4 linked regions of the Oryctolagus cuniculus genome follow. The protein of the gene in region 4 purifies or fractionates together with the protein of the main gene of each other region. This does not show direct contact. Links are inferred from orthologs where the notes say so. Each region holds a gene or a part of one and is shown on either strand. Other genes may lie near its edges.

Region 1 (5,059 bases), on a different chromosome or scaffold from region 4:
CGCCCAGGGCTGCCCAGCCCAGGCCCTCGTCACTGCTCTCATGGACGACACCGACACCAGCAGCCTCTGCCTGCAGCCCCTGCCCCATGCCGGCTGGCAGAGCCACCTTCTGACAAAGGCACACCTGGTCCGGAACCCCTCCTCACCACCTCCGGAGCCAGCGCGTCTCGTGCCGGACAACTTGCTTCCTGCCGTCAAAGGCAGCCGCGGGAGGGAGCCGAGGGCGGTGCTGTTCAGCACCTCTCGGGGCGACCTCGCCCTGGGGTCCGCCGTGGGCCCCGCACAGGCCCGCCCGACACCACGGGCCACAGCAGCCGCTTGGCACAAGTGCTCGGGCAGCTGGCTCAGCAGCTTCTGCCTCTGTTGAGCTTCATATTCAGAGTATTTCCCTTCGAATGTTTATTTAGCATCTGCTGAACATCAGCCACCGGGGACAGATCAAGACCAAAAGCGGGGCCGGCGCGTGGCGTAGCGGGTAAAGCCGCCTGCAGTGCCGGCATCCCATAGGGGTGCTGGTTCAAGTCCCAGCTGCTCCACTTCTGATCCAGCTCTCTGCTATGGCCTGGGAAAGCAGCAGAAGATGGCCCAAGTCCTTGGGCCCCTGCACCCGCGTGGGAGACCTGGAAGAAGCTCTTGGCTTCGGATCGGTGTAGCTCCGGCCACTGCAGCTATCTGGGGAGTGAACCAGAGGATGGAAGACCTCTTTCTCTATAACTCTGCCTTTCAAATAAATAATAAATCTTCAAAAAAAAACCCCAAAAACCCCAAAAAACCAACTAAACAACAACAACAAAAAACTAGTATGGCCCCCCCCCCCAAAAATCAAAAGTGTGGCGTGGCAGAAAGCAGTGGGTTTTTTTCGGGGGCGGTGAGGGGAAGTCAACAAATCTAGGGTCAAATCCAGGCTTTGCCTCTTATTGCTTGAGTCAGCATGGGAGAGGCCCTTACCAGCCTGAACCTGCTTCCTCCCTGTTCAATGGGAACGCTGGCTCTCCTGCGCTTGTCCTTGCTGGGAGCCGGCCCCACACAGGGTCTGCGCACCCTCCCTGGGGAGCCGGCCCCACACAGGGTCTGCGCACCCTCCCTGGGGAGTCGGCCCCACACAGGGTCTGCAACGCTCCCTGGGGAGCCGGCCCCACACAGGGTCTGCGCACCCTCCCTGGGGAGCCGGCCCCACACAGGGTCTGCGCACCCTCCCTGGGGAGCCGGCCCCACACAGGGTCTGCGCACCCTCCCTGGGGAGCCGGCCCCACACAGGGTCTGCACACGCTCCCTGGCTTCCTCCATCCGCCGGGAACCTCTTTGCCGCTCCTCCAGCCCCCTACCTGCCAAGGCAACCAGAGGCACCTGGCCAAGGCTGAGCCCGGGACGCACGGCTGAAGCCCGCGGCCCTTGCGTCGCCTGCTGCTCAGAATCTGTGCCATCTACTCAGGCTCACTGACCTCACTGCACCCCCCAGTTAGTGACCGACACTGGAGACGGCCCCAGCTGCCACGCACCGCAGGTGATTACATGACGACAGGAGTCAGGGTCTTCTCGCTAAAGCTCCCAGAGCAGAGGCAAGAGCAGGCCGGTGGCCCCCTGAGGTGTTCTGAGGACAGCTGCTCGTCAGGCCCGAGTCTGGTCTGGCAGGAGCACCCTGCACGCCAAGCCGGAACCAGGCGCTGGCCGTGGGCTGACAGCTCTGATTTAAACTACTAGGAAGGCCGAGGACTAAATATTTGTCCAGGTCACTGTAGACCGGGTGGAACTATAAACAGTGCAGAGCGGTAAGTGATGCAGGAAGTAGTCTCCGGATACGGAGCCAGGATTTTGCACCCGACTGCCAGGTGGCCGGAGTGGGGGAGGAGCCTGTGGCAGGGCTGGTCGCCCCTCCCGTGTCACTGGTCCCCAGAAGGCAAGAGCCATCCCACATGAGAGGACAGGCCCTGCCCTGTGAGCCCTGGTGCCAGAGGCCAGACGGGGACCCCAGGAACCTGGCAGCCTCCAGCCCGGTGGGACGGCCCTTGCACCTCAGGTATGCCACGCCCAGGCACCGTCTCAACCGCGTGACTACAAATCCACTTCAGAGGGTTACCGAATCAATCCTTTCTGCTCTATGTTATTTTTTCTATCAACAGCAACTAACTAAGAGTACAGTTATCTTACTGAAAAGATTTTTGATGTTAAAAGGAACCCTTGTCCAGGAGAGCAGGCCGGACGAGAACGGGAACAGGGACGGGAGAAGAGAGCTCCCCTGGACGCCCAAGGCCACCGCACTTCCACCAACACAGCATCCGCGCTGGCGGGCGAAGGCAGCTCCCTCCCAGGCTGGGGTGGGCTGGGTCTGGGCTTCCCCTCTGCCCCACCCCAAGCGTCCTGCCGCCCTGCACTGGGCACAGGTGAATGCCTTCTCTCAGGATGGGTGAGGCTTGCCAAAGGTAGCTTATCTGTTCTGACGCTTCACCAATAGCATCGAGAGCGGAAGTCAGGAGAAGCTGACCGGTCAGGGTTGAGAGCTCTGTGTTTCTAACAAGCTCCTGACAAAGCCGAGGGCTGACCGGACCACAGGGCTGCTCATGGCCAGAGAGGGGGCCGAGGGAGTGCAGCCCACGAGCGCTGCGAGGCAGCCATGGCCGCTCGGGGGCGGAGCTGGAGTGTGCGCTGGGCTGAGTGAAGGGAGACACTACCTGTCTGGTAAGGCTGCCTCCGAGGTTCATGGTACCCGAGCCGGATTTGTTGGTCTGCAGCCACAGCATCACCGTGGAAGTCAGCTTGTAGTGGGCAGTGCGGCCACTGGACTTCTCCTGCAGGGGAGGACGAGAGATCAGAGCCCGAGGAACGCTCAAGTGCTCCCTCCTCAGCCATGGCCACTGGGGTGGGCATCTGGCATGCCCGTACTCTATGCTGGATCCAGCTCCCTCCTCGCATCTGCCCTGGGAGGCAGCAAGGGACACCCAAGTGGGAGACCTGGACTGAGTGCCAGTTCCTGGCTTTGGCCAGGCACAGCCCAGGCTGTTACAGATAACCTGGAGAGAGAAACACCAACGGGGAGATCTGTAGCTTTCTAGAGAGGGGGGGGGGGGAGGAAGGGAGGGACTCCCCGAAATGTTTTTAATTATTTTATTTGAAAAGCCAAAAGATGGCGTGAGAGATTTATTCCCCACTTTCAACACCCAGGGCTGGGCACAGCCGAAGCCAGAAGCTGAGAACTGAATCTGGGTCTCTCATGTGGGTGGCAGGGACCCAGGTACTCCAGCCTGCCAGGGTGTGCGTTAGCAAGAAGCTGGAACTGGAAGCAGAGCGGGGAGGACCCAGGCACTCCACTACGGGGCGCAGGACCCTAAGTCGCATCCTGACTGCCGTGCCGCACACCCACCCCACGCTGTTTTTGAAAGGGCTGCATCTGTAACCGCGTACGCCGAGTTCGCTGGGACCTTATGATCCACGACTACTCAGTCCTCACTGATCTGCATCCAATCGGCTTTGGGGTGTTTCTAGGAATTAGCAGGGGTTTTCATCAGTGTCCCCAGCGCCAAAGCTGCACCCGGAGGCCCGGCTGCCGGCTGCTGCGGGGGCTGTACCTGCACTTCCACCACGTGGATGGAATCCCAGCAGCCTTTGATCTTCTTTGATCCATCTCCAGCCTTCTTTATGAGGATCACTCCCGCAAAGCCATGATCCAGATCCCAGAGGTAGACAGATGAGACACCACCTTCAAAATACCTGCAGGAAACAGGCCCGTGAGCCAGGAGACAGATGGCCAGTCCAGGTCCCGGCTGCCCCTCAGCTGCGATTCGCCTGGCAGTGTGGGATGAACAACCCTGCACAGGTCCCGGGGTGGATCCCTGGCTGTGTCCTGGTGCCCCAGGTTGGGGAGGGACGCGGGGAGAGCGTGGGCTCAGGGCTGTGGCTCTGTGGTCTCAGGGCTGCGGCTCTGTGGTCTCTGACACCCCTTCTGCCTTCTCAGGGACTCAGATTCCTCCCAGACGGGGGACGCAGCGCAGGGTGCGACACGGCTCCTGGAGCAGCTGCTGCCCCAGTTTCCTTCTTCTAGACGGCTCTTTGCAGGACAGATGGGAGCAGCAAACTCCTCCAGAGCCTGGGAAAGACTCAGTGAAGGGCTGGGTCCAGCTTGGAGCCTCCTCCTCTGATCTCAATCGATATGGAAAAATTCCCAGTCACGAACAAATGGGACGGAAAGAAAAGGCCAATCAGGCGGGACCCCAAATCCAAGAGCCCAAAGCCGCCTGTTCCGCAGGGCTGAGGCCGCTGTGAGGGAGACCCCCGAGTTGGGTGCTCGTCCCTCATGGCCAGCACAGTCCTCACCGCAATGCCCCTGGCGCCTCCGACCCACTCGGCCTGGGCACAGTGACATTCCAGAGCAGGGTGGGGAGTCTCTTCTCTACCAAGGGCCGTTGGGTATCTGCAACTTCAGTCGCAGGCTATACAGAATTACCCACTTAAAAATTAGCCTGCTACAGATCTGCTGAATTTGAGTCCTGCCTATGGGCTTTACGTGGCTTGTGGGGCGGACACTCCCCACCTCTGTTCTCAAGGCTGCCACCAGGGAGCGCCGTGTGGACAGGACTTCAGACCTGGACGCGGGGAGGTACGCCCCCAGGCCCGCGGCAGGGTCATGGGCTCAGGAGTAAGGCACACGTGGGACCAGCGCCAGCACCTGGTTACAGCTCTGTGGAAGTCCTTATCTACCCAACAGTGGCTTAGTGATGGCTGCCAGAGATGAGCTGGGTGCACATGGGTCTCAGGGACAAAACCACCTTTACAGAGCAATTGAGAAATAAAAATAAACTAATAAGGTAGACGCCTGGCAAATGATCACTGTGTTCACCACTTAAATTGAGGACTAAAACTTAACAGGTGTCTGTGACCTGTATTTCAAAGCTATCAGGATGAGACACTCCCAGCACTGGCGATGCTAACAAGCAGCAAGTGTGGGCAGGAGGTGGGGGAGGAGGGAGGAACCTTTGCAGACCGGGCCCGCTGTGTCACAGGTGCTACTTCCTGTCCTTGCACTCAGCCAGCTGCGACCAGAAGTATCCAGACCAGAAAAGCTGCA
Region 2 (5,059 bases), on a different chromosome or scaffold from region 4:
CTAAAACGTGTTTCCAAACCAACATCTACCCCTTCATAGGTGTCCTGTGCTCTCATCTACGAAAACGCACAGAAACCACCACACACACAAAGGACAAAGGTGGGTGGACGATGCCAGCGTCGCACCCCTGGAGTGGGACCGTGCACTGTGGTGACACAGGTGCTCCCACAGGAAGAAAGTTTACACAGGGTCTCTGCAGTCTTTCTGACGACCACCTGTGAATCCACGGTTACTTCAAGATCAAAAGTTGAGCAATTGGAATCGCTGGTTGTGATGCAGTCCAGTGAATGCACACTGCAGTACTGGTTCTTGGACCAGCATGAAACACACTGCCCTGGATGGCGAAAACGAAAAAGTAGTAAGGCAGACGCTATTTGATGTTTCTCTTTCAAATAAGGACAAACGTTAGGGCAGCTTTCAGACCATTTCAGGCGCCCCTGACATTCTCCCAGCGCTACCTCTTTTCCACCAAGCAAATTCTCTGAACCAATTCGATTTCTGGGGCCAGAGTCCCGCGGGCGAGAGCGCTCTGCAGGGTGCTGCTTTTCCCAGAGTTCTGTGGAGGGCCGGGCTTGCAGCTGCTGTGTGAGAAAGGGAGACTGGCCGGTCTGTTGGCGTCAGATCCACACCTGATACCCTTCAATGTCCCACAGAACCATGCTAATGGGACACGTTTTGGGAAGTACTGGAAAGCACTTTAATTTGCCCACCACCGCCTGTCCAGGTAGCACATGGCTGTTTACAGCTCGCTAGCTCGTTCTTCTCTCCTGCAGGGCAGTGAGGCTCTAGACCTGATGAGCTCCTGACCCTGAACTCCAGCTCAGGTTTGCAGGTTCAAGTGCAGCGCAGTCTATTTGTCTTTCCTCCCCTCTCTTTTGGACTCAGTCCAGAAACCCAGCAAATTCTCACATAAGATAGAAAGATTTTCTTTATTAATGACCCCAACCGTATTTCTTTAGATACAGGAGTTTTGAACTCAAACACTTAGGAGAAAACAAGTTAAGATTGCATTATCCTGCAACTCATTACCAGTAACATATTGCAAAGCGGAAGAGCTTGGAAAAGAGGTTGAAGGGAGGGGAGTGAGGGAAGGAAGATAAAAGAAAAGGAATTAAGTTGATCAAGTGGAATTCTTTTTTTCCTTTTTTTTTTTTTTAATTCTTGGGAACTATGAAGTCCTTGCAAGCACAGCTCGTTTCTGCAGATTATTTTCCAAACGTGTACAAAATGGAACCAAAACAGAGAATCCCTTAAGAACCTGAAGAGGTGCAACATTAAAAGCTACGATTATCCAGTAGCAAGTGTTCCAGCCTTCAGTCGCCAGCCGCTTCCTCCTCCTGTTCCCAAGAGTTAGCGGGATGAAAACGTCTTCCCCCTTGAAAAGGAGAGTAAGAGTGAAGGCTGGTTTCCGGCTGACCTTTCCTTCCACTAGGGATGGGACCCCAATGACACTGAACAGGAGGTGGAAAGGGCTCGGTGCCTCAGGCAGAGGCCCTGGGGCCACAGGCGAGGCTGATCCGGCTTTCACAGACCAGCTTCACGGCCTCTTCCTGCTGACCAGATGCCCTGAGCACCAGGCCCCGTCTCCCAGAAGGAATGAACTGTATCAGTAAGACGGGAGAACCGCATGTCCATTCTGGATGGCGTGGGTGTCCCTGAGTTCCGACTGGACTGGGTTCAACCGTCTTCCTAGTATCTACCAGTCAGCTCGGGCTCCTCCTATGCAGCCTATACCTTTTAGGGCCCCCACAGAGCAGTTCCTGAACCTTCTACCACTGCAATCCTCACAAGCTCCAGGTGGAGGGAGCATTTAGTCTAGCAGTTGGGATGCTCACGTCCCGCACACTGCCTGGTTTGATTCCTGGGTTGACTTCTGCTTTCTGACAAAGCAGACTCTGAGAGGCAGCAGTGATGGCTCAGGTAGTTAGGTTCTTGTCACCCTGGGCAGGAGGAGACCTGGATTGTGCTCCAGCTGCTGGCTTAGCCTTGGCCCAACTCTGGCTGTTGTAGGCACCTGAGTGAGCCAGCAGACACACAGCAGCTCTCTCTGCAATACGTAATCAACACAAAGGTCAGCGGCCTTCTGTTGTCCACACTGGCCACACTGGCCCAGGGAACAGTTGCTGGTTTTCTAGGCTGCAGTTGTATCCCATTGCACCTCGTATTTCCGACGGAGGACCAGCTGGTTCCCAGAGCCAGGCTGGTAACTGGTAGCTATGGGTACTTATTAAAGCCGCCTGGAAGTGAGAGCTGAGAACTGAGGGGAATCAGAGCAAAAATAAGGGCGTGCCATTCTGCCTGCCCTGGAAGTCTCCCTTGCCCCCAAAGGAAACGCTTGGATTATGCTGCCCGCAGATGAAGAGCTTCCGAGGGTTCCACAGTGGGCAGAGCGCTGACGAGTGCTGACCTAGGCTTAGCTTCTGCTCCAGGGCCCTGGGTCTCCCAGTTTCACCGGGTCCATGCTCCTGCAGACTCCTCTTGTTCTGGTGTTGGAGTCCTAGCTTGTCTAGCCCGGGACCGACATCTATCCCCTGTAAGTAACATGATCTGACCTCCAGGGTGGGTGCCGCTGTTTGCCTCCCTCCTCCTCTTTCCTCTCTGGTTATACAGGCTGCCCAGGTCAAGTTTCCCCCAGGCTATACTGAGCTGTTGGTTCACCGCCTAGGCTCTCCCAGGCCCTGGAATCAGTATGAAAGTGGCTGCCTTCTACTCGAGGCCACCAAAATGGTGCCTAGCAAGAAAAGCACTCCCGTAGGAGCAGGCGGGGAAAGGGGACCTACACATGCCAGGCTGGAGAGAAGGTTCTGGAGGGGCAGCAGGAGTAGGCGGCCCAGGGCGCACCCCCTCGCCTCCCACCCTGGTCCCGGCTTTGGCCATGTTAGGAGATGCCAAGAAGCTGCGGAGGAGGAAGGAAGCTGCCGTGTGTCACATGGCGTGTGGACAGCTCCCTCGGCAGAGGCTCTATCTGCCGGCTGATTGCCGTTCCCAAGGCTCTGCGGGGCGGGCACAGAGCTAATACGGAGAAAGGCCTTCGCCTAAAGAAGTCACGATGACTCCACCTGCTGGGCACAAACGTCTCATGTTTCTGGGGCTGAAAACCCTGACCTACTGCTCAGGTACTCTGCCAGAGCCCTCTCTCCACCTTTCGAAAGGCAGTGGAAACGAGCCTGGTGGAAGAGGCTTCTGGGCCAGGAGAGAGGGCTTGGGCTGTGAGGGGTGCTTTGCTGATCACAAAAGCAAAATAACTTCCACGGGCACAAAAGCAAGGAGGTTTAAGTGCCACTACCGTAGATAAGGAGAGCAGGGCTGTGAATGTCACCACGAGGAGACCACGACATGGCCCTGTTCCCAGAGACTGACCCCTCTGGGCCGCTGGCCATGCTGGCCCCCTGCTTATACAGCCACACAGTTTACAGCTCTGCCTGTCCTGGGCAGCGCTCCTCGCGTCGCCCCTCCTCTCTGTGTTGATTACCTTCCGGCTGAGCAGCAGGCCAGGAAGAACACTCAGGGGCTGCTGTTCCAGGCCTACTGACTAAGGGACCGAAAGCAACTTCCTCCATTTCTCCAGGAAGACCACGAGGACAAGACTGATCTCTCCGCTCGGGCCTAAAGACAAGCTTTTCCTAGAAAAATGAAGCCTCTGTTGTTTTCCTGGCTGACTTTCTCACAGCGCAAAAAGAAGTGGAAACAAGGAAACCCATTCCGGCCAGCAATAGTGAAAACCTGACTCTCCCATCTCCAGTCTGTCCGGGAGCCGTAGCCTCCAGGTACCCACCACCCAGACACCAGCAGGACCAGGCCTCTGACACCCACTATTCACTTCTTGGTGAGCACAGGAGGGGGAGGTGGTCCTGCCCGACTCACGTGATTGTTTTCATTTCTTTCTTCTCAGCATCTGGGCGCGCACGGTTCAGCACCTTGAGGAAGTCAGACGTTTTTGCCCGCATACGTGTGTGAATATAGGCCTGGGAGCAAACACAACAGATACTGAAGCCCAGCCCTGTTCTGAACTGTGTAGCTAAGATTCTTGACTTCAAGGACAACTTCTGCTCTCTGCTCTGGCAGGCAAAGCCCTGGGTCACAGGAACTAAGCCCCTGGTGCCCCCTCACCTTAGAGCACTTGATGTGGTAGTGCAGGTAGTCCCGGAACGTGTGGATCAGGTTGATGGTGTTATCTCGGGCACTGGCGTTGGTGTGGCGAGGGAACAGCACTGGGGGGAGGGGTGACACACAGACAAGGCGTCAGGGTCAGGGTGGGGCCAAACAGTAGCCGCAAGTCAACTGCAGTGTTTCCCTGCTTAGCCACAATCTACCTGTTGCAGTACTCCCAGGCTCTGTCCAGGGCTTTTGCTTGACGCAAGAAGGGATAAGCAGCACAACCAGGGGAGGCACCAATGAGCACAGAGGGGCTCATGGGAGAGAAAAGGCCTGAGCCGCATGTTCATTTTGGGTCTAGATTCTGTGGTGCGTGTACTACAGTGTCTTCCCCGTCTGCCAGCCACCAGGGACGCTCACGGTTTACCCTAGGAGCCAGGGTCCTCACTGAAGTACAGAGAACAGATTCCAGAGGGTATCCCACACCAGGGAAGGAGGACGCAGGGCTTCTTGGCAGGCCAGCTGGTGCTCTGGCTGGTGCCGAGCAGGGCTGCCCACAGGCCCGTGCCGTCACAGCGCAGTCCTCCTCCCCTGTGGCCTCTGGAATGCTCTGCACCTCTGCCTCTGCTCACTGGTCTCACTAACAGCACGCGCCCGAGCCTGTGAGGTTCTGCTGAACTGAAAAGGAAGGCCTCCTAAGAAAGGGTGGCGCTCCTGTGTCACTCTGCCTGGCCAGCAGAAACCTGCATTTCAAAGAATCTGAGATGCAAATGGCGGGAAGTTTACCGCGACTTCCCGGACCAGAGAGAGAATGCTGCAAGTTACACCGCGACACACCACGAACTGCAAGATGCACCCCAACCTCAAAGATAAAACTATGGAATAAAACCCCAAAAGAGTAAAGATTAAACACAGCATCAAGTCACTCAATCCAACAGACATGCACCCCTGGAGCACTGAGGTG
Region 3 (5,059 bases), on a different chromosome or scaffold from region 4:
TCTTTGGAATATAATTTATCTTCAAGCAATTTATTCTTGGGTCTTTTTACAGAGTAGATAGATTTGCCTGATTCTTAATTTCTGATACCCTCTAATACATGAGTAAGTTCGTATTTCCTCCTGAGTCATCACTCAGAAATGAAACTATCTGTGGGCTATTCCCATACATTAAGATACTCATTGGGGCCGGCGGCGCAGCTCAATAGGTTAATCCTCCGCCTGCGGCGCCGGCACCCCAGGTTCTAGTCCCGGTTGCTCCTCTTCCACTTCCAGGCCAGCTCTCTGCTGTGGCCCGGGAGTGCAGTGGAGGATGGCCCAAGTGCTTGGGCCCTGCACCCGCATGGGAGACTGGGAGAGGCACCTGGCTCCTGGCTTTGGATCAGCATGGTGCATAGACCGCAGCGTGCTGGCCGCAGTGGCCGTTGTGGGGTGAACCAACGGAAAAGGAAGACCTTTCTCTGTCTCTCTCACTGTCCGCTCTGCCTGTCAAAAAAAAAAAAAAAAGATACTCATTGAACTCCAGACACGCTCTCAAGATAAAAATCTTGGGCTGACACCAAGGCTCAACAGGCTAATCCTCCGCCTAGCGGCGCCGGCACCCCGGGTTCTAGTCCCGGTTGGGGCATTGGATTCTGTCCCCGTTGCCCCTCTTCCAGGCCAGCTCTCTGCTGTGGCCTGGGAGTGCAGTGGAGGATGGCCCAAGTCCTTGGGCCCTGCACCCCATGGGAGACCAGGAGAAGCACCTGGCTCCTGCCTTCGGATCAGCGCGGTGCGCCGGCCGCAGCGCACTGGCCACAGCAGCCATTGGAGGGTGAACCAATGGCAAAAGGAACACCTTTCTCTCTGTCTCTCTCACTGTCCACTCTACCTGTCAAAAAAATTAAATAAATAAATAAATAAAAGGATAAAAATCTTAAGGGGTCGGCACTGCGGCATAGTGGGTAAAGCCACAGCCTGCAGTGCCAGCATCCCTTAAGAGCACCGGCCCCTGCTCCTGTATGGGAGACCCAGATGAAGTTCCTGCCTCTTGGCTCCTGGCTTTGGCCTGGACCAGCTGGCTGTTGCGGCCATCTGATGAGTAAACCAGCAGGTGGAAGATTCTCTCCTTCTCCCCTACCCCCGTAACTCTTTCAAATAAATCTTTAAATAAAAAAACAACAACAAAAAAAAAACCTGGTGCTGGCGCTGTGGCATAGTGGGTAAAGCTGCCACCTATAGTGCCATATGGACACTGGTCCAAGTCCCGCTGCTTCACTTCCGATCCAGCTCTCTGCTGTGGCCTGGAAAAGCAGTAGAAGATGGCCCAAGTCCCTAGGCCCCTGACCCCACATGGGAAACCCAGAAGAAGCTCCTGGCTTCAGATTGGCCTAGCTCTGGCTGTTGGCAGCCATTTGGGGAGTGAACCTGCAGATAGAAGTCCTCCCCCGCACCCCCCCCCCCCACCTCTCTCTAACTCTGTCTTTCAAATAAAACAAATCTTTTTTTTTTGGACAGAGTGGACAGTGAGAGAGACAGAGAGAAAGATCTTCCTTTTCCATTGGTCACCCTCTAATGGCCACTGCAGCCGGCACACCGCGCTGATCCGAAGCCAGGTGCTTCTCCTGGTCTCCCATGGGGCGCAGGGCCCAAGCACCTGGGCCATCCTCCACTGCACTCCCGGGCCACAGCAGAGAGCTGGCCTGGAAGAGGGGCAACCGGGACAGAATCCGGTGCCCCAACCGGGACTAGAACCCGGTGTGCCAGCGCCGCAGGTGGAGGATTAGCCTATTGAGCCACGGCACTGGCCAAACAAATCTTAAGAAATAAAAATTAACTACATACTTTATTTTCTAGAAATTGTTTTACAGGTTTTATTTTAATAGCTTCATTTAAAAAAATTTTTTTATTTGAAGTGCAGAGAGAGATTTCCCATGTGCTGTGTTTCATCTCCAAATGCCTGCAGCAGCCAGGACTGGGCTAAGCCAAAGCCAGGAGCCTAGAATTCAGTTCTGGTCTCCCTTGAGGGTAGTAGGGACCCAGCCGCTCCCGGGAAAAGGCAGGGAGCAGAATGGAGAGACACAGGCCTTCTGATACAGGATGTGGGCGTCCCAAGCAGTAGCTAACTGCTGTGCCACGTATGTGCTCCCTGCTTTAATTTTATTCACCTATAGAATTGTTGACAGTTGATCCTGGATTTATTTTTTTTATGGTTTTTACAGGCTAAATTACAGTTTGCAGTTGACTGATTTTTTCTTCCCTCCTTCCCCTTGTTATCCTGCTTAGCAAAAGATACGGATATTGTGGATGAAGCCATCTATTACTTCAAGGCCAATGTCTTCTTCAAAAACTATGAAATTAAGGTAAATGACAGAGCTTTTAATATTTCACTTTAATTTTCTGATTAGGGTAATCTCTACACTGCAATGAGTTGCCATGAAGAGAAAATGCGATGTGAAATTGTGATTCTTAAATTCTAGAACACTGTCTGGTATTAGATTCTGTGAAGATACTGGTTTCTTTTTCTTCCTCCAAAGTCTGTACCAGGGTTGACAGACTACAGCCTGAGGACTGAATCTGGCCCATGGCTTCTCGTAAATAAAATGTCATTGGAACACAGCCTGGCCCTCAAAGCCTAACTTGTTTGGTTTCTGGCCCTTTGTAGAGAAAATTTGCCAATTCTGGTGTAAAGACATTTTAGCATTAATTTAGCACCTACTGTGTGCCAGGCCTGGTGGGTAGCATTAGCCCACAAGTGAGAAATCCTCCTGGCTGTGTAATTTTGTTAGTATACGTGTGTGCCCTGAACCTGAGAAGGGGAAGTAGAGACTTGAGCGACCCTGGTCCTGCCCCACTCTCCCCTCTCTCCTCAGTTCCTGTGACGAGGGAAGGAAGGGGAGGGTCACGGACGAGGAGGAGGGAAAATGGAAACCAGGTTTCCTGAGCTCTGCTCTCCAGGTTACCAGGAACGGCGGTGAGATGAACTTCAGCCTCCTCCTTGCCAACTTTGACCTTTTGAAATCAAGCAGGATGTAAAATCTTTATTTATAGATTCCTGATCTATAAATTGTAGTCCAAACATTTTGTGATATTAACAGAGTGTTTTCTTTGTCAAATACATGGCCCACATGCTGTGTTTGTAGTAGGTGTAAATAAATATTATTCTACCACACTTTATTTCCTGGTCTTAAAAACAGGGAAACGTGTAGGTTTCTTTTTGTTTTTTCAGCTATAAATACGAGCAAAATGTGATCTCACGTCTGCCACATTGGATCAACATCCGTTCGTCTTCTCCACTTCTCCTTTTGCTTAGCTCAGGACGCCAGGCTTAGGGAGTTCTTCAAGAACATGTCACACGTGAAGTAATTGCTTCCTCTTTTAGAGTAATGAATGTTTCTGTTCTTGGCAGAGATCCTGAAATGAAAGGGTTTTTAAAAATTGGCCAGCCATATGGTGCACCTCAGGTTATTCAGGCAGCCTTGTTCATTCTCCTTCCTACGCAGGGTGAGGGGCTGTTGGCACAGCTCCCCGGGACCGGGGGTGAAGGGAGCTGAGAACAAGAGCCTCCACAGAGCTCGGGTGGAAGCCCTGGCCCTGCCCGCGTGCACAGAGGGAAGCCTGACTGGGAGAAGGGGCCTCGTGTGCCGCAGCAGTATATGTGTGTGCCCTGAACCTGAGAAGGGGAAGTAGAGTCCAGGCTTTCAGTAGATCATCCGGAGATGAAGATTGATTCCATTTGTTGGACGGAACTGCTAGGTTTTCGTCTGTACTGTTTGCTGAATGTTCTTTTCCTCTCTGTAGAATGAAGCCGACAGGACCCTGATATATATAACTCTCTACATCTCTGAGTGTCTAAAGAAACTCCAAAAGGTAATGGATTAAGCTCGGGAGAGTGCCGACAGTTGTTTATACTCCCAGTCGTTTTTTGTGTGTCGCGACTCCAAGGACAGCTAGGAAATACTCCCTTAGACTTGGACATGATCTGAGGAGGAAGACCCGAGTGTAGCTCTCTTAATTCCCAGTGTGAGTGACTGTGTTTTAAGCTGCATACGTGTGTGTTTGCAAGACGCAAACCTTGACAGAGAGACTCCGTTAAGCCCTGGGCTCAGGTGTTCTTCACCTGCAGACCAATGACTCAGGGGTCCGTGAATTTGAGTGGGGAATAAGCTGGGTTTTTCTTTCCATCAACCTTTAGCTGAAGCGAAGCACTTACTTCCGTTGTTAATGTTGGCAGTAGCCCCCAGTAGTATCAGGAGTGCCGGTGACTTTCTCTCACAGAATTCATGCTGTTTCCATTTCACATTAAACTCAGAACTTTGTTTACACTCCTCACTACTTCAAAATGGAGTTATTAGGCCCCATGCCAGAGTTTGGTGAATTAATAAAAGCAGGTGTGAGACCATGTCATATATATATATTTACTTATTATTATTATTTTTTTTTTTTAGTGCAATTCCAAAAGCCAAGGCGAGAAAGAAATGTATACACTGGGAATCACAAATTTTCCCATTCCTGGAGAGCCAGGATTTCCACTTAATGCAATTTATGCCAAACCTGCAAACAAGCAGGAAGATGGTAAGAAGGGGTCTGTGTCCTTTCTTTCTAAGATTTTATTTATTTAATATTTATTTGAAAGGCAGAGTTAGAGGCAGAAGCAGAGAGAGAGAGATGTCCTCCATCCGCTGGTTCACTTCTCAGATAACCACGACAGCCAGAGCTGGGCTGATCTGAAGCCAGGAGCTTCCTCCTGGTCTCCCCCATGGGTGCAGGGGTCTAAAGACTGGGGCCATCCTCCGCTGCCTTCCCAGGCACATTAGCAGGGAGCTGGATCGGAAGTGGAGCAGGTGGGACTCGAACCGGCGCCCACCTGAGATCCCAGCACTGCAGGCAGCGCTTCACCCGCTCCATGGCAGCACGGCCTCCATGTGTGCTTTCCTTGTGGCACATGAAGACCCTCTGTGGCTTCCAGATTGACAGTGGACTCACGGGGACGTGTGTGGTCGTGCTAGTCATCTTCACTGAAGGCTCGGGCAGCAGTGTGACAAGCAGAGCATCTTTGGAATGATTTTGAAATGAGTGTAGT
Region 4 (4,486 bases):
CTGCTCCGCCCGGCTTCTCCTGCCCCGGGGGCGGGTCACCCCCGCCTCAGGTGTCCTGGGGCCTAGGAGTGTGTCCCCTTAGGGAGGAGTTGCTCGGATTCAGGGTTCCTCCTGCATGTTGAATTTCCCTCAGCTTTAAGGGGAAGAATGGAGTAAACATTCTAAGTGATTTCGTGCACTTTCACTTGTATAAAATGTCCTGTATGAGGCAGTATACATAGCCCTTTCTATGGACGTTGCTCTTGATCTCACTCAGTGTTGTAAATAGGATGGTACTCCTGAGACTGCTATAGAAAACTCACTTGTGGTGCAATACACTTTTTGATTAAAGCGCTTCAATTCCGATGCAGTTGCCGGGGGTTTTCCTGGATGGTTTGCTGTCTCAGTGCTTGTTTGCCTGGTTTGCTGCTAGTACATTGTCTCTTGTTTCCAGTACTTCAAGGGCTACAGAACTGTCTTTCAGAAAGAACCCCTCCCCACTCAGCCAGGTTTGGGTGAACGTGTAATTTAATGCAGCCAGCAGCCTAGTCCTACCGCCCAAAGACCACAGTCATTCTACAAAGCGGGGAGGGGTGGGGTGCTTTGGTCAGAGGAGCTTGCAGAGGCATTCGGGTCCCTACCTCTGACAGCGCAGAGCTCTCCCGTGAGCTGGAAAAGAGGGCTTGCTGTGAGTGGTTACATCACCTCCTTCGCACCCACTGGCTGTTCCCTGTGCCCGGCTTTTAGTTCTTTTAAGAACCCTTGTCCGGGCAGGAGCTTGGGACCCCACATCCCACAGTAGATCCCATAGTGCCTGGGTTTGAATCCCAGCTCCGCTACCAGTTCTGGCTTCCTGCTGTGCACACCCTGGGAGGCGGAAGCGATGCTGAACAGTTGTTGAGTCCTGGCCACCCCCGTGGGGGCCTGCATTGAGCTTGGGCCCACGGCAGGACTTGGGAGTGAAGCAGCAAATGGAAGCTCTCATTCAGCTTCTTTCTCCCTCTCAAATAAATACTTAAAGAAAAGAAAACCTGCTGATGCTTCACGCTGCTGCTGCACCCAGCAGAGCCGGAGCTGGGAACCAGGGGTGTTCAGGCCCACCCTCAGCGCAGACCAAGTGTAGTCACAGACTGAAGACCTGACTGATCATCAAATGCCTGGCTCTGCATTCGCTTAAGTGAGCTCCAGAGTGACACCCAGGTCAAAGGAGTGAGGAACAACAGTTACTGAGCAAACCTCTCAGCCGAGGCTCGCAGCGGCCAAGCAGGGACACTCTCGAGCCCGTCCAGAGTTCCTGGAACAGCCAAACTCTCTCGTTCCCATCCCATCCCACCCTACCTTTCAGAGACAAGACACCGCGATGTGTATACTAAGAAGCCAAGAGCTTTATTGATGCAGCAGGCACTTTACAACGAACCCGAGAGCCCACCTTCCCGGGAGGTCAGGGGTCTGTACAAACTCGGGTTTTCCCACAAGCTGTCCCTTTCACCACAGCCCTTGGGTCTGCACCTGCCCAAACCATCCCTCCCCCAGCCTCAGCCAGCAGCACGCACAGCTCCACCTGACCAGTGCTGGCCAGCCTCTCTGTCCGGTCCCAGTGCCCGTTCTGCAGTACTGTGTAGACGAAGGCAAAAGAGACGATCAGGTCCTGCAGAGGATTTGGGAAACAGACGATTTCTCCCTCCACCTTGAAAATAAAATACACTTCAGCGGCCACGAGTCCTGGAAGAGTCGAGTCGGGCGCTCCTAGGAAGGTGGTCCATTGTCAGTCCCTTCTGCACCGGCCTGGGCATCCAAAGTTCTCGAGGTAACAAGTCCTTTGACTTTTAAACAGTCTTTCTTGCTGTAAGAACTCTAATAATGGAGCCTAGTCCTCCTACTGCTAAGGCCTGCGGAGCAGGAAAAGGAAATGTGTCAGGTGAGACCTGGCTGGCCACGACGGGCCCACGCCCCCCAGCCTGACCGCATGTGCCGACCCTCGGAGAAAGGACTCCTGCGACGTGACCACCGCCTCCGGCAGCAGGAGTGGCCCGGGCCCAGGCACCGTGCACGCCCGGCAGAGCCACAGTTCCTCTCTCAGCAAGTCCCTCGCTTCCAGGCTGCCAGCGCTGCCCGAGGCACAGGAACGCACACCGGCCCACTGGAGTGGCCTCCACACCGCGCAGGGGGACTGCTCGCCCCGCCCCCAGCGCCTGACCCCTGTCAAGGGGGCATGCGGGGCAGGGCAGTGGGCACGCAGGCCTGACGGAAGGCACCCAGGTGAAGAGCGGCAGGCGGACGAGGCCATGGTAAATGACTGTCGTGTTTGCTGCCCACTGCACGCTCTGGCCTGCTGAGGCCGGGGCCAGAAGCCCTCCAAGCTGGCGAGGAGGCTCAGCCTTCATCCTAGGACCACCCCACTCACCCAGCAGTTGACTCCACCAATGCAAAGAAAGTACCATGACGCGCCAGCCAGCCAGGAAGCATCCCTGCCACTCCACACCACGCCTGGTCACCTGCACCCATGGCACACAGCAAGGGCCCCCTGTCCTGCCTGGCACAAAGCAGCAGCTATAAAGTGAGTGTACCAGAGACAGCAGAGCCCGACCAGGTGCTTCCCTGGGAGGGGGAGGGGACCAAGGGTCCCAAGTGGAGGCTTGGCCCCGGCTCTCGCAGGGCGCCTGCTGAAGCCCGGGGTGAGGCAGGGGCTGGGCACGGGGCCGGCATGTCCACGTACCTTTTCATGCCACTGAAGCAGCACTGCACTGCTGTTTTCCGTGGGCTTCTCAAACCCTTTATAAATGTACTTCATTAACAAGTCGATGCCGTTTCTGTCCAGAGACTGCACCGCCTGCTCAATTTCGCTGCTTTTGAAGTTAGTGAGCACCTTCAGCACCACGCCCTGGGCTCGCTCCTGCAGAGGAAAGAGCGCGCGTGAGGCCCAGAGCCACAGCCGGGCCCATCCTTGCCCCACTGTAGGCACAAGTGGGAGGAGCTCGCCAGAAGCACTGCCCAGTTTCTAACTCGATCTAGGATCAGACAGCTTTTTAAAAAAAGTGGGCTAAGATTCTCCCACTGGCTCAGAGTACGCAGTACTGCCTGTCGATGACCGAGTAACTGAGTTCCTCCACTTCCCATGGAGGAGGTGCTTTCCTGGGCAGGCGCCAGCAAGGCGCGAGGCCCCACAGGATCGGACGGTGGAGGAGGAGGTGCCCCTTCGAGAACACAGGCTGACTCGCTGCGGCCCCCGTCAAGACCCACGTCCCGGCATCGAGGAGGCCGCAGCCAGCAGTGTAATCTGTCCTCTTTCCAGGCCGTGTGAACAGGACTCTGAGAAGCCGTAAATTCCCTGTGCATTCAGAGCCCACAGAAGCAGAACAGGGCCAAGTCCCCGGAGGGAGGCCCTCGGGAGCTGCACACACTGACGGGGCCCTGCCCCGCCCCTTTACCTTCACAGCCTGGTTCTTGGTGTTGACCGGAGAGTTCCGCAAGGCGGCGTGGAACGCCCGAAGCATGTCCCCTGTGCACCAGCATCCGTTAAGGTCAGCCAGGCCAAGCGTGTCCGCGCGCACCGTGGGCCCAATCCGAACCGCTCCGGGGCGCTTCACGAGGATCCCGAGGCCCAGCTGCTTCACAGCCTGGAGCTGCCTGAGCCCCAGGCAGCGCCTCTCTGCCTCCCCACAAAGCAGCTGCCCCTAAGGGCCAACTGCAGTGAGGTCCCAGGGGCCCCGCCCAGCGCCCCACCTGCCCCCACCGGGCACTCACAGGCCTCTCTCATCTCTCTACAAAGGGAAGCAGGAAGGCACAACCGGAAGTCTCCTAATTCTTCACGGATGCTTTGTATCAATTCCACTACTAAAGGAATGAAGAGACACTAACGCTTCTCTCTTCCAGGAGCTACCGTGGCCAGAGAGGTCCGACTGCCAGTCTGTGAGAACCCTCGGCCCACAGAGGAGCCACTCTGCCCCGCCCAAACCTCAGTGGCAATCCTGATACCACATTCTTTGCCAATACCCAGCATGCAAAAGAAAATGACAATCTGGGTTAAGTCCCCAAAGGCGACACCTATTTTAAACCGAGTTACATCATGTGAAACACTGGCTTCAGCCACAAGCTTCAGAAATAGCACCAGGCCCGACCAGGTGTCTGCTGCGCCGTGCGGCGAGGCCCCCTGAGAACGGAGCCCCCAGACAGGGCTGGGCCTCCTGCGCCCCGCTGCCTTCAGACTGGGCGGCGACCCAGCCCCTGCACTTCAGCTCTGCAGTCCCCCCCCAGCCTAACCAGGGTCCCTAGGCCAGCAGCGCTGATGAGCTCTGCCCCTCTTCTCTAACCTGGGGTCCCGGGCTGACAGGAACACAGGCCCGCATGCTTTTCACTGAAGCCTGCCCTCCTGGCAAACCCAATCGTCCGGAGACGGTAGGCAAAGGCCGGTCGGGGGAGAGGGGTGGGCGGGGGCCTGTTAGCACCCTCAGTGGCACCAGGCTGTCGAGGGAAGGCCTGCAGCAGCCGGGAGCAGCAGGGAGGGCGC

The links.
Region 1: the proteins of ARPC5L (region 4) and CAPZB purify together in Homo sapiens (co-immunoprecipitation; 3 studies listed by BioGRID and IntAct, with this or other methods). This does not show direct contact. The link is inferred for Oryctolagus cuniculus from reciprocal best matches to the Homo sapiens genes ARPC5L and CAPZB.
Region 2: the proteins of ARPC5L (region 4) and ARPC2 fractionate together in Homo sapiens (co-fractionation; 7 studies listed by BioGRID and IntAct, with this or other methods). This does not show direct contact. The link is inferred for Oryctolagus cuniculus from reciprocal best matches to the Homo sapiens genes ARPC5L and ARPC2.
Region 3: the proteins of ARPC5L (region 4) and ARPC3 purify together in Homo sapiens (affinity purification with mass spectrometry; 7 studies listed by BioGRID and IntAct, counting the BioPlex papers as one, with this or other methods). This does not show direct contact. The link is inferred for Oryctolagus cuniculus from reciprocal best matches to the Homo sapiens genes ARPC5L and ARPC3.

What each region holds. Positions count from the first base shown.
Region 1 is NC_091438.1:151,245,441-151,250,499, reverse strand, and holds part of CAPZB (F-actin-capping protein subunit beta), read right to left. Parts: intron 3,706-5,059; coding exon 3,564-3,705; intron 2,787-3,563; coding exon 2,670-2,786; intron 1-2,669. UniProt on the Homo sapiens protein: F-actin-capping proteins bind in a Ca(2+)-independent manner to the fast growing ends of actin filaments (barbed end) thereby blocking the exchange of subunits at these ends.
Region 2 is NC_091434.1:21,103,509-21,108,567, forward strand, and holds the end of ARPC2 (actin-related protein 2/3 complex subunit 2), read right to left. Parts: intron 4,212-5,059; coding exon 4,111-4,211; intron 3,966-4,110; coding exon 3,865-3,965; intron 1,376-3,864; coding exon 1,351-1,375; 3' UTR 911-1,350; downstream 1-910. UniProt on the Homo sapiens protein: Actin-binding component of the Arp2/3 complex, a multiprotein complex that mediates actin polymerization upon stimulation by nucleation-promoting factor (NPF).
Region 3 is NC_091452.1:8,107,870-8,112,928, reverse strand, and holds part of ARPC3 (actin-related protein 2/3 complex subunit 3), read left to right. Parts: intron 1-2,262; coding exon 2,263-2,339; intron 2,340-3,777; coding exon 3,778-3,846; intron 3,847-4,424; coding exon 4,425-4,551; intron 4,552-5,059. UniProt on the Homo sapiens protein: Component of the Arp2/3 complex, a multiprotein complex that mediates actin polymerization upon stimulation by nucleation-promoting factor (NPF).
Region 4 is NC_091432.1:228,724,329-228,728,814, reverse strand, and holds the end of ARPC5L (actin-related protein 2/3 complex subunit 5-like protein), read right to left. Parts: intron 3,481-4,486; coding exon 3,408-3,480; intron 2,873-3,407; coding exon 2,696-2,872; intron 2,513-2,695; exon of another isoform or gene 2,418-2,512; intron 1,869-2,417; coding exon 1,806-1,868; 3' UTR 1,343-1,805; downstream 1-1,342. UniProt on the Homo sapiens protein: May function as component of the Arp2/3 complex which is involved in regulation of actin polymerization and together with an activating nucleation-promoting factor (NPF) mediates the formation of branched actin networks.